Drosophila melanogaster: one gene and its partners. The protein of the gene in region 4 interacts with the protein of the main gene of each other region in a pairwise test. Each region holds a gene or a part of one and is shown on either strand. Other genes may lie near its edges. The genes, in order: CG6470, Mob2, CG12995 and Nnf1a.

Evidence for each region.
Region 1: the proteins of Nnf1a (region 4) and CG6470 interact in a two-hybrid assay, tested with the Drosophila melanogaster proteins (one large-scale study listed by BioGRID).
Region 2: the proteins of Nnf1a (region 4) and Mob2 interact in a two-hybrid assay, tested with the Drosophila melanogaster proteins (one large-scale study listed by BioGRID).
Region 3: the proteins of Nnf1a (region 4) and CG12995 interact in a two-hybrid assay, tested with the Drosophila melanogaster proteins (one large-scale study listed by BioGRID).

What each region holds. Positions count from the first base shown.
Region 1 is NC_004354.4:18,512,277-18,516,813, forward strand, and holds CG6470 (uncharacterized protein), read right to left. Parts: upstream 2,592-4,537; 5' UTR 2,434-2,591; coding exon 2,061-2,433; intron 1,554-2,060; coding exon 913-1,553; 3' UTR 553-912; downstream 1-552. Other genes in the region: HisRS (Histidyl-tRNA synthetase), read left to right, coding at 3,314-3,406.
Region 2 is NT_037436.4:11,550,052-11,554,752, forward strand, and holds the start of Mob2 (Mob2), read right to left. Parts: upstream 3,062-4,701; 5' UTR 2,779-3,061; intron 2,643-2,778; exon of another isoform or gene 2,488-2,642; intron 1-2,487. UniProt on the Drosophila melanogaster protein: Required for the normal morphogenesis of a variety of polarized outgrowths including epidermal hairs, bristles, arista laterals, and dendrites.
Region 3 is NC_004354.4:17,208,867-17,212,018, forward strand, and holds CG12995 (uncharacterized protein), read right to left. Parts: upstream 1,132-3,152; 5' UTR 1,096-1,131; coding exon 574-1,095; 3' UTR 502-573; downstream 1-501. Other genes in the region: CG32563 (uncharacterized protein), read left to right, coding at 1-143.
Region 4 is NT_033778.4:20,585,676-20,588,921, forward strand, and holds Nnf1a (Nnf1a), read right to left. Parts: upstream 1,564-3,246; 5' UTR 1,499-1,563; coding exon 1,398-1,498; intron 1,342-1,397; coding exon 1,129-1,341; intron 1,055-1,128; coding exon 940-1,054; intron 735-939; coding exon 579-734; 3' UTR 547-578; downstream 1-546.

The DNA of each region.
Region 1 (4,537 bases), on a different chromosome or scaffold from region 4:
CGTTCGATTCCGGCAGCTCCCGCCTGTGACCACCAGCACCTGTTGCGATCGACTGATGGCTTCGATCCGCCCGAGTTGCCGCTCATCGCCTATCTTGTATTCCCTGCACACGACCCACTACCGCCAACGCCACCGCCGCCGCCGCAAGCGCGAAAGAGATAGCGCACAGAAACTTTGAGCTTGACCGCCAAAGCTCGGCACGGAACGGAACGGTGAACGGTGAACGGTAAACGGTAAGGCAAGGTAGCGCCGGTGACGCAACGGACGTGCGTGCAGTCAGCTTCATTGAGCGAATGTATCGATGCACAGCTATCGTATCGATTGCTCGAGCTGGGTATCGAAGCGCTTCTGTAATACATCGATATCATTCTTCTTTACATATTAGATAGTGGACTAGAGAGGAAGCGATTTCTCATCGATTTTTTCGATAAATTTAAAAATATATATACCCATTTTAGTATCTTATTATGCTTTTAAAGCCTCAATGGATTATGATTCTTTTACCTTTCCGCCAAGTATCTAAGAAATGACAATTCATTGCAAGTAAATCTTCTGTTTAGTTCAAATATTTAATTATATTCAATACATTTGCATCAACGTGCTGGGGACTCTTAATTTAGTTTTAATTGACCGTCGTTTGTGGAATGTGACTATTCAACGCCAGTGTGTGTTTCGGTCTTCAGAACAGGTGAGTCTCCCACTAATCGTGTCATTGTGCTCAATTCATACTTCTAATAATTTTGCCTTCAATTCCACAAATTTTGATGATCCTGGTAAACAAATCAAATACAGTTGAGCTGCATACGCCCTGCACTTGACAATTTTCCTTTCGTTTCAATGGATTCTTCTGGTGTTTGGAAGCAAGCGTTGGTTCTGCATCCAGTTTCTGGTGAAGATTGGTAATGAGGACGACTAGCGCCAGCGCTCGTGCACTGCCGACTCGCGCATGATAATCTTCTGAAGTTTTTCCTGCTGGGTCATCTGATCCTGCTGGTTGGTGGCACTGTTTCCCTGGTGGTGAACCGGCTGCTGCGCCCGCTGAAAGTTGGGCAACGGCGCCTTCTTCTCGTGCGCCAGTTCCGTGAAGGCCAGCTTGCGGCGCTGCTGCGGCGGTATCTTCTTGCAGTAGCTCAGCAGATGGATGTGCAGCGTGCGTTCCAGGTCGAAGGAGCGATCGCAGTACTTGCACAAATGGACGGTGGTCAGGGTGGTTCTGCTCTCCCGCGGTCGCCGTGCACGGAAGCGCACCTTGAAGTCATCGTCGTGGGTGTGCCGGTGGGCGCCCAGCAGCGATCGGATGTGAAACTTGGCACCGCACACGCCGCACGAGTAGCTGGGCAGCTGCTGGTCCGTGGCATAGCTGCCCAGCGGCTTCAGCTGCAGTCGGCCAAACGGTCCGCCCTGATACTCCCCGCCATCTCCTTCATCATGATCGGGCTTCGTCGTTCCGTTGGAGGCTTGCTGTGCGGCCATAATGGCTTCCATTTCCGCTGCCTCGGCCTCGGCCTCGTAGTTCCGGGGCGTGAGGCCATTGCGACGAGGAGATAGCAATACTGTTGGAGAATGGAGAATGGAGAATTGGTTAACTCAATATGAGATCTTAAATTAATATCACTTTTAATATACTATATTAATCAGTTAAGTACTATATACCAAATTTGGTGTTAGTAGCTTTAATAAGGCCCAAGATCATATAGATAACAGGTGTCCAAATCGATTATATTTAATAACCTACAATTGTAATCGTTGTTTTAAAATAAATTGCACTTGAAACTTATGTTTCGTGATTTATATGAGTATAATAAACCAATAAAGTACTGTACACCAAATTTGGTGTCTCTTGCCTAACTAAGCACCAAGATCATATAGAAAGAAGGGTCTTAAGTAGATGATATATGTAATGATGATAAATATATACTGCTGTTTCAAGATTTTAAAGAGTTCTAATAACCAATAACGTATTGTATACCAAATTTGGTGTCTCTAGCTTGAATAATACCCAAGATCATATAGAAAGGTGCATCCCAAATCGACGATATGCAAATGTATTTGTAACTTACGATTGCAACTGCTGCGTCTTCTGTTATCGTAGTTGTTCGTCTTCTCCAGCGGCGAACTCTCCTCCTCGTCGGTCTCTTCCTGAGCTGGAGCGTGTAGCAGACTCCTCTTGCTGCGCCTGCGACGCTCACCATGGGCATGGCCAGCCATGCTCGATCCTTCCCGCCCTGCTCCTCCGCCTGCGCCAGCCGTGCTTCGCTTGGCCGCCCGAGTGGATGCACTGGCTCTGTTCGACTCGGACAGGTAGATCAGCTTGCGCTCCACCGCCCTGCGCGCGTTCTCCACCTGAGCCTCCACGAATTCCTGCGGCTGAATCCTGGAGCATCCGGTCCGCTTGGCGCGCTTCACCTTGATGGGCTTTTGCGGCTTGTTCATCTCGTGTGTGGTGTGCGTGTGTGTTTGTGTATGTGTAGCGTGTCTTATTAATTTTCAATGCTATTTTTTTAATTTCAGTTTGTAGTCAGTCGGTGTCGAAGGAATACTGAATCTAAGGGTGATGCTTAAATATATACCAATGAAACTAAGCACATCGCCTGCTGGGCAGGGAAATTTTAAATGTTGAAGTAAAAAACATTTTTCCAATCTTATATTTCATTTCGAATTTTTCGATTTTTAAACAATTTAACAATAAACAACAATTTAAACAAAAAACGCTTCTTAAAATATTTCAGGATTTGCTATTTAAAAAAAAATATATTTTTTTTAATTGATGATTTGTAATATATGTAGTTTTGACAAAAAATATTCTATTTAATGATTTTAGGATAGATAAGTTTGTGCTGTAATCGAATCAACTTATTTTAACTTATTTGAACTTGTTTAAAACAAAAAACAAACAAGATCAACTTTACGCAATCAAGTGACATGAACATTTTTATTTAAAAAAAAAAAAAAACGATAAAATTAGCTAATAAATTGTAGTGCAGTTAATATTACTAACAGTGGCCAGCATTCGTGTGTTGATTGTTGTTAATAAATTATAAATTATACACTTTACATGTCCGCCAGCCCAGTTATCAACCACGGTTTGAGTTCGCACTAGCGCACGTTTTCCCACCACGCGACGAACGGTCACATTGACCACCGCGTGCGAATTTTTTTTTTGGCCAGCAGCGCAGAAAAAGCAGCTGAAAGCTGGAAAAGACAGCATAAATCGCCGTGTCGATTCGAGACGATTGAAACGCCGCGCGCCCGCCTTTTGCAGTGGACTGTCAACCGTTTGCCGTTTTTCATTTTTGGCCATCGAGCACGGAATATGAGTGATACGCGTGAGCAGATTCTGGAGCAAATCAAAGTGCAAGGCGATCTCGTCCGTCAATTGAAAGCAGCGAAGGAGTCGAAGGAGAAGGTCAGTTTTTGGTCGTACTTCCAGTTGGAAACCGACTCCCTCCCTCCACCCAGCACTACCACTTCCACCATCCAACCCCCCCACCCGTCAGCAACGCGTCCGCCTTCCAGTGTCATCCCCCTTTGTGTGTGTACAATGGAATAAGTGCAATTGTTGCCGTAATTCCCGGCCCTGCTTTCGTCATCAAATTCGAAATCCCACTCGCATACATATTTCATCAGATCGTCATGCAGTTGAGAATAAGGGAAATAACAAAAAACACACACATGCTGCGCTGGCATTTGGAGTTGTTCGAAATCTTCGTTTTTGCAGTGTAATAATTAGATGAATGTAACATCGGAAGAGCGGTGCAAAGGAAAAACGGCAAATTAAAGGAGCGCGCAGACTTTCACATTTACATTCGCATTCGCACATTCGTGCCACTCTGTTGTTATTGTTGTCTCGCTCTGGCCAACGGCAAATGCACTGCTTCTGTGTGCGTGTGTGTTAGTGTTGTGCACAGTGATGCCAAACTATTGTCCCGACTATTTGGCTGGAAAGTAGCTTAAATTAGCAGTGCTGTCCGAAGCTGTGACTAATAGAAGCAATTGTTTATATTAATCTCTTGCTGATGTAAGTCTACTGATGCTCACTTCAAATCTTTGGCTGGATTTCCTTGAAACTGTGCTGAAAACAGTTGGAGACTTCTAGAAAACTCAATAATCTTTTGTGTTAATAAGACCTTAAAGTGATTTTTCCTGTACTCTTTGATGTTCTAGACGCTGTCCAATTAGAACAAGTATTGTACAGGTATTAAATAATCCAATTGGGATACTTAGGATATCTTTCAGATTTGAAGTTGAAGCTTGCATGTTCAGTAATCGAAAAAAGATTTAATTTCATAATTTTAGATTTAGATTTAATTAAAGTCAAGTAGCTAAATGAGACTAATAGCTGGATTTGCATCACCAAAGTGAGTGCTCTATGACCGACTGACTGACTGAAAAGAGAGCGACTGGTCAAACAGGAGGCATGTACAAAAGGCACATGGTGGTTATAGCGATTATATCAAAAACCTGCTAGACCACAATCAACCGATCCAAGACTTGACGACTGCAACATGTGATTTGGGCTATGAGGCATTTGCAACAA
Region 2 (4,701 bases), on a different chromosome or scaffold from region 4:
CATAATATATCTGAGTAGATACGAAATCATTGAAAATGGTATATTATATAAGCAAAAAGAGGTACCCTGTACATTTCGATCTTTGATTTTCTATTGATATGAAGATCCTCTTTCTTCAATGTAAAACTAATTCGTTCTGTTAGTATTTTTTATATTTTTTGTGCTTTTAAATTTTAACTTTACGAAACTAATATCCCAAATTTCTCATGAAACTCTTTGTGCAGCTTAAAGCAAAAACTTTTAATTGCTTGCAGACAATACTAGGAAGCCAATAAAATGGTCTGAAGTGCGTGCTAAAAAAAAAGTACGAAAAATCGAAAGATGACAGAAAAGGGGTTAATGCCTATTGTTTTGTTTATTCAGCTCGAAACCAGCTACTGATTCCAATATCCAAAATGTTCAATTTCCGCGTCGCTGTCGCACTTAACCTTCAACTCGCATTGAAGCCAATTTGCTGACTCTGTTGTCTTTTCCCCCCAAACGAGTTTTGTCTTTTGTGCGCCCCCCTTCTAGTATCGTTTTCACACCTCCGCACACAGAACAACTGGCGCCCCATCAAAACCGAAATTTATGATGTGATTCTAGCAACGCGACGGCGAGTGTTTTTTTTTTCTTAGATTGCCCATTGCTCGCGTTTTGAATGAGCTTAATTGTTGCCGATTTGAGTGTGCTTTTCATGTATATGCAGCACAACCCGTTAAAGGTCAAATGAGCGATTGGCAAAGTCGAAAGAGAGAAAAAAAAAATAGAAACCGAAACCGAAAATGAACCCCCACCCCCTTTGCTCGCTAGAAAAGCTGGAGAATTATGTCTATGTCTGCTAACGAAAGAAATGAAAACGAGTTCCACAACTGGCAAACGACGAGCAGGAAGACGACAGCAGATATGGAAAGGGAGATAGAAGCTGTGCAGCGGTACGGTGACGTGAGATGTGCGATGCACATGCAATGGATGACATGATATACATAGTAGATAGGTGTATCTCCGTACCCCCACCACCAAACCCCATGCCAAGCCGTACAAAACCCATCCATATATATCTTCGAGCTGGTTTGGGTTGTTCTGTTCTGTTCGCTTCATTTTGGTTTGGTTTGGTCTGGAAGAGCTGACCGGCGGGCAGGCAGAGCATCATACATACATACATATGGCATAACGGTTCGGCGGAAAGGCGCAGAGAAGTTTTCGGGTCGCTAACTAACCCAGTTACCAGAGATTCATCCGACAGCGTTTATAACTGTGACTATCCTTTTCATATGGGTTAAACGATCGATTGAGATACACGTCGAATGAAAACAGTCCCAATAGAACCGAAATGCATATGTATGAATTCGATTAAATGCGATTGCTGAGTTACTAAATTAGTATCTATACGATTTTGCTGGAATTGCTTAATGGGGAAATACCGTGAGAAAAGTGTTTCATAACGGGGGCAAAACGTTCAATCGCAAATAGTACATAGATACTTTTCTATACCATTATATATCGAACTAAAATTGTTAGTTTGGATAAATATCATAGTGCTTCTTCCTAATTAGTTCCTGAGCTTACATAAATCCTTAACATCCGCAACACAGAAGGGCCTACACAGAAAACGAATCGAATTCGGTTAGATAATATCGCACCACAAAGGCTTGAATCAATTTCATTTCCTCTGCCTTCCGCAAATTGTCCATGGCAATTCAACTATGGGAATCCGCAACTAGTTCCAGTTGGCTTTGCAATTTTTAGCATGACCTCAAAAAATCGATGGATGGCCTAGCGCATTTGAGGACCCAAAGGGTTGGCGAGGGGCAGTGGTAGGAAGGCGCGGGGGGTCTGGACGAAAGGTGTGAGAAATAACAAGCTGCTGGTTGAGCCACTCGTAACTGTTGTTTTCTCAGCGTATTGAACACGTAGGCGCGTCAACGGGGTTGACAAAAAGTAGAAACAACGCAACCAGGATGTGCACGGAAAAAAGAGGAAATACTCTAGGCCCAATAAGATATATCATTATTTTAAGATTTTCACTCTTTTTATTTTTAGAAGGTATTTAAAGGCAGTTTGAATAAGGATATATTCCATAAAAACCTATCTTTAAATAATTCTTGTGAAAACTGTCAAATGAACCCTAACAATACCCCCATTTCTTTCTGTGTGGCAGAGAAAACACCTGACAATGCAGTTGAGTGTGAGGGGGCGTTAATAAGGGAGGGTTGAGGGTTGCAGGGCAGACAACCAGACAAGCGGACGAACAGACAGGAAGCTCGTGAGGAAGGAAGTTCCTGCCGCTGCGGCAAAGGAAGTGGTTAAAACAATATGGCAGTGGAGGAACAAGTAGTGGTGGAGTGGCAGTGGCAGTGGCACACCAAGCAACATTGTGAATGCCCAATGTACCGTTGTTGTTGCTGACGCTGGAGTAGCAGCTTTGCTGCAGCGTTGCAGTTGTTGCTGGTGTGCCAATTCTAAGCGCTGCATTGGCAACAGTCGCGCTTCGCCGGTTTCGCAACTGAACTCTCAGCTGCTATTGCTCCTCTGCAGTTAGTTGCTGTTGCTTCTGCTGCTGCTGCTGTTGCTGCATTGCGCGTAATCAGTGAAGCAACAAACCGTGGCAGCTAGCTGCAACAGCAACAATAACACGCCAGCAGTCGCGGCTCTGAGGAAAAACTTGAATGCAGTTTTTCGCAGCGAATGACACAGTTTCACACCAGCACGGGAAAACACTAGCACACACACAGAGAAGAACTTCTTTTCTTTCTTTCTTTTTTTTTTTGTTGGAGAACAGACTCCTTTTCGGCTTACATTTGTTCCCCTTTTCGGGATATTAGTTTGTATTGGTAGGCGATTTTATTTCACAATCTAGCATAGCATTTCACGGTGGCAATTGATGTTGCAAATGTTGCGCTGCTTGCTGCTGGAGTTGCTGTTTTGCTTTTAACTGCGACGCGATGATGTGTGGTTGCAACCGACGGCGGCGCCTCGAAAAACAATGTCAAATAATGACGCGGCGACATCAACAGTCCACTATTGACGACGACCTGCAACCGCTCGAGCGACCAAGCGTGCCAAAGGAAATTTCTACACTGAGCCAAGCCGTCCGTCTTTGACTGACTGCTGCTCGTTCGGCTGGCAACAGCAACACATACACATACACAGCGGCAACAACAGCAACACACAGCGGCAACATCAACACTCACGCAAGTAAGGAGAGAAAAAAGGCAGCAAAAGCAAAAACACAAAACTGGCAACGAAAGCAGAGCACACAGTAAAGATGAAGTGGTTGCTGTTGTTGTTATTGTTGCTGCTGATGTTGCTGCTGTCTCGCACACCAGCAACATTTGCTCTCCGCTCGAGCGCGAGGAAGAGAGCTAGAGGTATCAAATACCAGCTGAGCGGGAGAGAGCTGCCCGTGTACGTGTTTTGCATACAAATGCGCCACTCAAGCGAGACACGCACATCTATACGGTTTTCGACCACTTGTTTGACTGCTTTGGCTTTAGCCCTCTCTCTTCTACGCTCTCTCGCATCAGCTGAGCGCTCATGTTTTGATGCTCAGCAGCTGACTGCGCTGGCGTTGCCACACAGCTCGGTAACAAGAGAACACGGCAAAGTGGCAGTAGAATAGTAGCAGAATCTACTACTTTTTTAACGCATTGAACAAACCTAGGATAAACTCTATAAATAACAATTAGAAATTAATTTTCCACGAAAAGGGATAATTGTACCGTTCGTATGAAACATTTAAATGGATTTCTCATAAATATATTGCCATTGTTGATTCATTAACACATGGTTTTAATGATCACAGGTAAACGAAATAAATTCGGCAAATTTAATGGCTAACACAATTTCGTACAATTGACGCAAACATCACATCACTTATGTACTTTTACCAAGAACACTAATTGGCTTGATAACAATCTGTTCAACTAAAACATCATAGAGTTTTGTTAAAGCGCTAAACATTTATTTAATACGTTTAATACTCTAAGCATGTTATAATTTTTTTCTCAGTTAAAATGACTGCTCTAATTGACTTAAACAAATTACCTGGGATTTGGGTAAGCTCATGCTCAAGATATTTCACTCACCTGAAAGGAAAACAGAAAATAAAGAATTAAAGATATATTCCAATTTGTTATTCTCGATGGTAAGGACCTCCAGCTACGTGGTTCTTATCAATGAAGTGACCCCAAGCCCGCATGAAATAGCTACTCCTCTGACCATCAAATCTCTCCACAGGGAGTAATTATCACGCTCTTTTTCGGCCAGGAAGAAATAAAATCAGTAATCAAATAGAATGGAGCGGTAGACGAAAACCGAAGAACACAGGAACTGCATTTGCTGCCTAACTTACACAGAATCTAGACCCGAATAAGAAAACATAATATAAACGCATCGTCATTCTGCGTAAATAAAGTTGAAAACAGGAACACGCAATGCACTTAGATAAATTTGGACCGACATGTGTGGTATTCATTAAGCGAATAACTAAAAAGAATGATTAACAAAAACACAACAGTACCAACCCACATAAACTTATTTTATATTTTTAAATTTACTAGACAATTGCATTAATACACTTTTTTTCGAGTGTATCTCAAAACAGCTGTCCATTGACGAGCTGAAGAAAAACAAGAACAAATACGACTGGGGCGAAAAGGTGAGAAGCGGATAGAGGAAAAGGAATCTTGGCAGCAGAGAACGCGCACCTGTGACCGCCCG
Region 3 (3,152 bases), on a different chromosome or scaffold from region 4:
TGCCACATTCAGTGATTCCATCGATTCCATCGATACCTTCGATACCTTCGATCCACGAACCCCGCATCGTGGTCAATGATAATGTGGACTTTTCGCAACTCAAATTGCCCCAGCATCAAGTTGTCCACTCCCACGGCCGCTAAATGGGTTCATTGCGAAACAATTTATAAACTATCATAAATAACTACTTTTCGGCGGTCTTATTACTTTAAGTTAAGTTTTTTTTTGTTTGTTTTCAATTTATTATTCAATAAAATTGCTATAAAATATATTGGTTTTTAAGGTTGACGAATGCATGGACAATATTTATATGTGTGCCAAAAACACAATTTTTAAATATGTAACATTTTTAAACATGCAGATTTTGTAATTAATTAAAATCCAGGACATCTTTTTAACTTATTTAAATTTTCATAAATACTTGACCATATTTATTTATAGGTTGTGCCCCCAAGAGAGCTTTTCAATTCAATTTAACTTACATTTATTTTAATAATCGTTAAAAAAAAAACACTTTTATAATAATATAATCTTTGAGCATTTTGATAGGTCTTGTGTGCGACTATCACAGTCTTAGTAGAGATGTTCCAGCTGGTGGTGCTCCGCCAGGTGGTGGTCGTGCTCCGCCTGGTGCTCCACCTGCTGTTCGAGTGCCTGGTGCTGGATGTGGTGCAGTTCGTGCTCATCCCGATCCTTGAACTCGTACAGGGTGCTGTAGCTGAAGGCGCCCTTGCCATGATCGATGCCGGGCACAGCCTTGTGGTCCTCGTAGTGGGAGTGCAACTCGCTGGCCTCGGCGTACTCCTCGCCGGCATCGCTGCTGCCGTAATCTGACGGGAAGCTCTCCTCGCCCAGGTGATCGCCGAGGGAGCCCAAGTGATCCGCCTCCGCGGAGGCTCCGAATTCGTGCGAAGATGAGCTGAAGTCCAGCTTGGACAAGGCCTCGCCGCCAGTCAGACCGCCGGCGTAGTGGCCCAAAAGTCCCGCCGAATGGACCACTGCATTGGAGGACACATCATCCCCCAAAGGATAACATTGGATGCCTAGCAGCAGCTGACCCAGAAGGATCATCAGTTTCAGGCGATAGGTGAACATGGTTGGATGTGGTAGAAGTGTTTTAACCGACGCGGCGAAATGTTTCGAGTCAACTAATTTACTGCTACCAACTGCATTGGATTTTATATGCTCGGAGCACTCACATTCGACCGCAAATACATGCCGCATTTTCCTGCATTTTCCGTCGACTTTTGCACACAGTCTTTTGTTTTGTTTGGCTAAAAGCGAAAAACACAGAAAAAAAAAAATGTTGCAACGGACATCTGCCTGCTGGCCGCTCGTTCGGCTGGAGCTGATAATTTGCTGCACTTACTCCGCATTACGTCGACGTCTAAGTGGCGGGGCCATTGAAAAGCCTGTTGCAATGGTGCGTATACGTAATAATTTTGGTCTTCTCAATTATTTTTTGGCTTTTTGGCCATTAGGCCCGTTCTCGGTATATGGACCATATTGCGTCATCTGTGGCATCCCTGTGGGCCTTAACCCTCCGCCTATTTGCACTTAAGGCGGAAGCTCGCTAGATTTTTGGCACAGGCCAACTAATTGGGTTTATCAACAGCAAATAGTGGAAGTAGAATGGCAAATATAAAGAGTCATTCACATATACGAGTATGTGAGTTGAAGGTGTATATTTATCGGGCCAAACAATGCAGTGAGATGTGTCCATTGTGCAAAGTGGCCAAAAAGTGCACTTAACTCATTGAGAAACTGTTTGGATAGGTACTTTTATATTTGATAAATATAAAATAGTCAAAGATGTAGAGTACAAACTTATTTGAAACATATTTCGCAAATTTATTAAATCACGAAAAGGATTTAAATACATTGCCAAAAATATTCTCTAAGAACAGCATCCGTTTATCAAGTCTTTTATTTTATATATTTCTCTCTTAACTTATCATCAGCGAGTCTTACATAAATCTATAACTCAAACTAACTCCAAATTATAGTCTAATGGATATAGAGCAATCTGAATTGATTTCGATTTCATGAGTCTCTCTACTGCAATTAAAAGCACAAGAAGCCAGCAGAGCGAGAAGTCCGCGCTCGATCGCCAGTAGTTTTTAAAAAAACCCACAGCTCCATGCGTCTGACATACTCACCAATATTCCCATTCCCAACAAGATATGGGTGCTATATACTCCATATATGGAGCACGAGTGCCTGGAAGATTGCAAAAGGTGGAAAAGCGAAACAAAACCGTTACCGATGTACATATAAACATTTGCCGTCAATTCAGCGCGCTATGTGCGAATAAATTTCCAAAAACTAAGAAAATCGGTTTGTAGCGAAGTTCGGCTGCTCTCATTAAATGAATAATAATATATGAATCAGTAAAAAAAGTCAAGAAAATATCAATCAACAAATAATACTAGTAACAAAACTTTATCGAAAGACATCTGAGAATATAAGCTGAAAAAAGCCCAGGAAGTAGAGAGAATATTATATTTTGAAAACTATAAATATTAAATGAAACAACTGATAAATATTTATTTTATCACAATAATTAAAAAATTAATTTTTTAAATGGTTAGTTGCTTCTATGGTATATTATACTATCCCATTAGGATTGACATTTATTGGGTATTTTCTTTGGGTGTAGCTCGGCATTTCTTCGAAGTCGGCCAGTGTGAATAATTGGGCAGTATTAATCTGTGAATCCACCATCCAAATGGCCAACTGGAAGCACTCGCATTTGGGCTATTGGCGCTTCTGATTGCCGCTGTTTATTCCATGTTGCTGGTTGCTAGTTGCTGGTTAATAGTTGCTAGTTTCTGGCGGGTTGCGTGCCGGCAACATCAACGAACAGCAGCAGCAACACCACCAGTCGGGCTCACAAATTACCAATGTAATAGCACCGCTTGTTTTGTGTTTAATTTTGATACCCCTTAGTCTTTGAGAAAGGGGGTATACTAGTTTCGTTAGAAAGTATGAAACAGGTAGACGAAAGTTTTTCGACCATGGATACGTGTTTTCCTCGAACTATTTCATAGTTGAGCCACTCGAATACCTCTTGTCATAATTTTGTATTTTTTGCTTTTTGTTGATTGTGGGGGCGGTGAGTAATTGGGAGCGGTGCAATGTGGTTATTAGGT
Region 4 (3,246 bases):
TTGCCTTAAAATATAACTGAAAATCTGTATAATGAGTGCAGTCTCACAAGGGAAATTAAAACGAATCTTTTAAAAAACATCTTTAAATGTATATTATTAGTTACTTTTTGAGGAAGATCTAGCAAAAATTCGGTTCTTTTTTACACTAATACCATTCCTTTGATTTATACTACGCAATCAAGTATGTATGTATGGGAGTGTGTAAGCACACAGCGATTCTAAGAAATCACTCAAAAAACACATGCATACATACATAAGTTTACACATGTTTAGCTAAAAACTTCGTACTATTTATCGTATTCTTTATAGAGATAACTTGAAATGTATGTATATACATTCAATTTTAAAAGATTTTTTGTCGCCAATACAAACAATTGCTCGTTAATATTATGAGCTTATTGCAATGATACGAATTTAAATAAATTGTGAATGTCAATGACAAATGCATGTGTACATACATATGTATGTACATTAATGAATATGCAGATTAGTTTGTATGAATTTCCATTTTAAGACCCCCCACTCAAATCATTAAGCTCATAGCGTAGTATTTTATTTATTTATTGCATTTAAGTTTGTCAGAAGTCGTTCAATGCTTCGCCTAGTTTAATAAGTTCTGTCTTAACTTTCTCGTACTGCGACAATTGCTGCTCCATTTGGACAGTCAATTTCAGGCGCTTGTCATGGACATGTTGGAGTCGCTCGCGATTGGCATTGCTCTTGGCCATAGCAATCTGTAATTGAAATATAAACAAATGTTAGTTATACTGATAGAATAACAAACCTAGATATGTACATATGTATATGCAAATGATAAACTATAGAAATGAAATTATTAAACTAAAAATCTTCTCGAAGGTTCTTTAACTTTAGGGATCTTTTGGTACACTCAAAACAGTGCAGTAATAGTACAAAGATTAACTAATATCCAAATCGCACCTCAAGTTCTTTTGCCTGAGAGGCCAGTTGCTGCTCCATGAATTCCACGCTGAAGTCCAAAAATCGCATGCGCAGCGGCCGAGTGAGTTTATCGGGTGCTGCAGTGTTCACGTTCCTATAGATTACAATAGAGTAGAGTAGAGTTAGCAATGCAATCGAATCGTATTATGTTTTATGCTGCACATGTACCATTTCTTGCCCTCGTAGGCAGCGAAATGTTCCTTGAGCATTTCCAAAGTTTGCAACTTATTTGGCACATCGTTGCTGGCGAAAAAGCATCGGTTCATTTCGAGCACAACCTTGGTCATCAGACTGCGAGTGCGATCTACGATGCTTTCGGTGTCCAGAGCGGATTGCTCGTGCTCCTGGTAAATGGCATCCCACGCTTGCAGATCTGCGCAGCTAGATATTAACGATTTTTAATATTCGTTATCATGTTAACTATGCCTGCTGCTTACCTCAAGTCGGCAAAGATTTGTTTAATGGCTTCCTCGTAGGCCTGTTTCACCTTTGGTCCCACACCCTCGTGGCGTTTAAATGCGGCTTCCGAATCCTCCATTGAAATAATTTGTTAGTAAATTCAAATTGTAAACAAAACAAAACAATGCCACATTGGTGTGACCAGTTGCAAGTTTCTGCAAAACACCAGGCCGATAGAAATTATAGAGTATGGTGACAACCCTGTTATTGGTTTTTTTTTGAGGTATTTCCACTAGCTCTTATTACTCATAAGTCCCTTGTAACATAAGTGATGTTGAAAATATAAATATATTTCATTCAGCGGTATGGTGAGAATATGTGCCTTTTACATTACAATGTCAAACAAAATGAATAAATACCACCGAACAGTATTTTTAAGAATAAGTGTTAAACCACCGTTTTCAACCATCATATATCGATAGTCCAGGTATCGATGACAGGGTGATACGCCATTTTCCAATTCCTCTCTAACTTTTGTGCATTTTAACTCAGCTCTAGTGTGTTTGTGCTATACATATTTTGAATAATATTTTACCAGCCAGTGTTTAGTGGCGGACAAAATCGTGTTGAATACCAATTGAAAGTTAAGTGATTAAGTTCGGTGGCATCAAAGTCTTCGTAGCTGAAGGAAAACAAAGGCATCCCGATAGGTGAGTTTTTCTTCTACAGTTTTTTTTTATCTTTTGCCTGGGGAAACGCGAATGAAAAGCGAATTTGCGAGGCAAATAAACCAGGCTAAAAGCAATGTGTGTGTGTGTTGTGTGGTCTTGTGTTTTCCTGAATACATTTCTAAGAAAAAGATTCGCCAATACATGCCGATTTTTTATAGCAATATAGTGTGATTTTTAACTACACCCCCAAAATCGTTCTTTTGGCTTCGGCGCTTGAGTTTTACAGTTTTTCTTCCTTTCATTTTATTACAACCACCAGGGCACACAGAAATATTCCTAGCTCTCTCTCGCTCTGCCGCCCTGTTCTCTCTGCCTCTCTCGCTTGCTCGCACGCATGCCGGCTTTTACTTAAAGTACAGAGTCGCATAGTTGTTGTTTTTATAATTGGCCCATCGCTTTAGTCGCTTGTTTTGTTTTTCACATTTGCTGTTTTTTCTTTTCTTTTCGTTTCGTTGCTTCCCTTTTTCTTTTATCTCCACGCGGTTACACCGGTGCATAAATTTCATTATAATTCGCTGAGATAAAATCAAAACAAAATAGTTTCGTTGTTCCGAAAGCAAAACTCCCACGCTACAAGACGAGTTCAACGCTCGTTGGCTTTTTACAAATAAGGAAAAGGCCTAACCTATATTTTATTCATAGTTTTTAGCATCAATCGATGAGGTACGTAGAAAACGGAGAGGCAGAGGAAATGGCGAAGAGAGGCTAATGAGAGAGAAAAATACAAATGGAAGCTAACTGTTGTTGTTTCGCTTGTTGGTTGGGTGCAGCTTATTACCACCTACTTGCCTCCCCCCTCTCTTCATTGCTCCTCTTCTTTTCTCTTTGCCCCCCTCCCCCTCATTAACCCATTGGCATTTGCAGCTTTTTAACAACAGCTCTCTTCTTCTTCCGTCTGCAAATCTTCTCAGCAATTCTGCAACTTTTGCTTTTCGTTCTTTGGCGATTGTGACGAATCTCCTTTGTCTCTGTTTAGATTTCCAGTTTTGCGAAAAAATTCGCTTTTATTTGCCTTTTTTGGCCGAGGTATTTTTCGTTTGTTTCTAGCGTTTATTTCGAGTGAAGCAATTCCAAAGATATTTCGCGGCTATTTGCACGCGTTCGTTGACATTGAACTGAATTCTCACGTAAATGTGTTGAGTTCCAAATTGGTCAG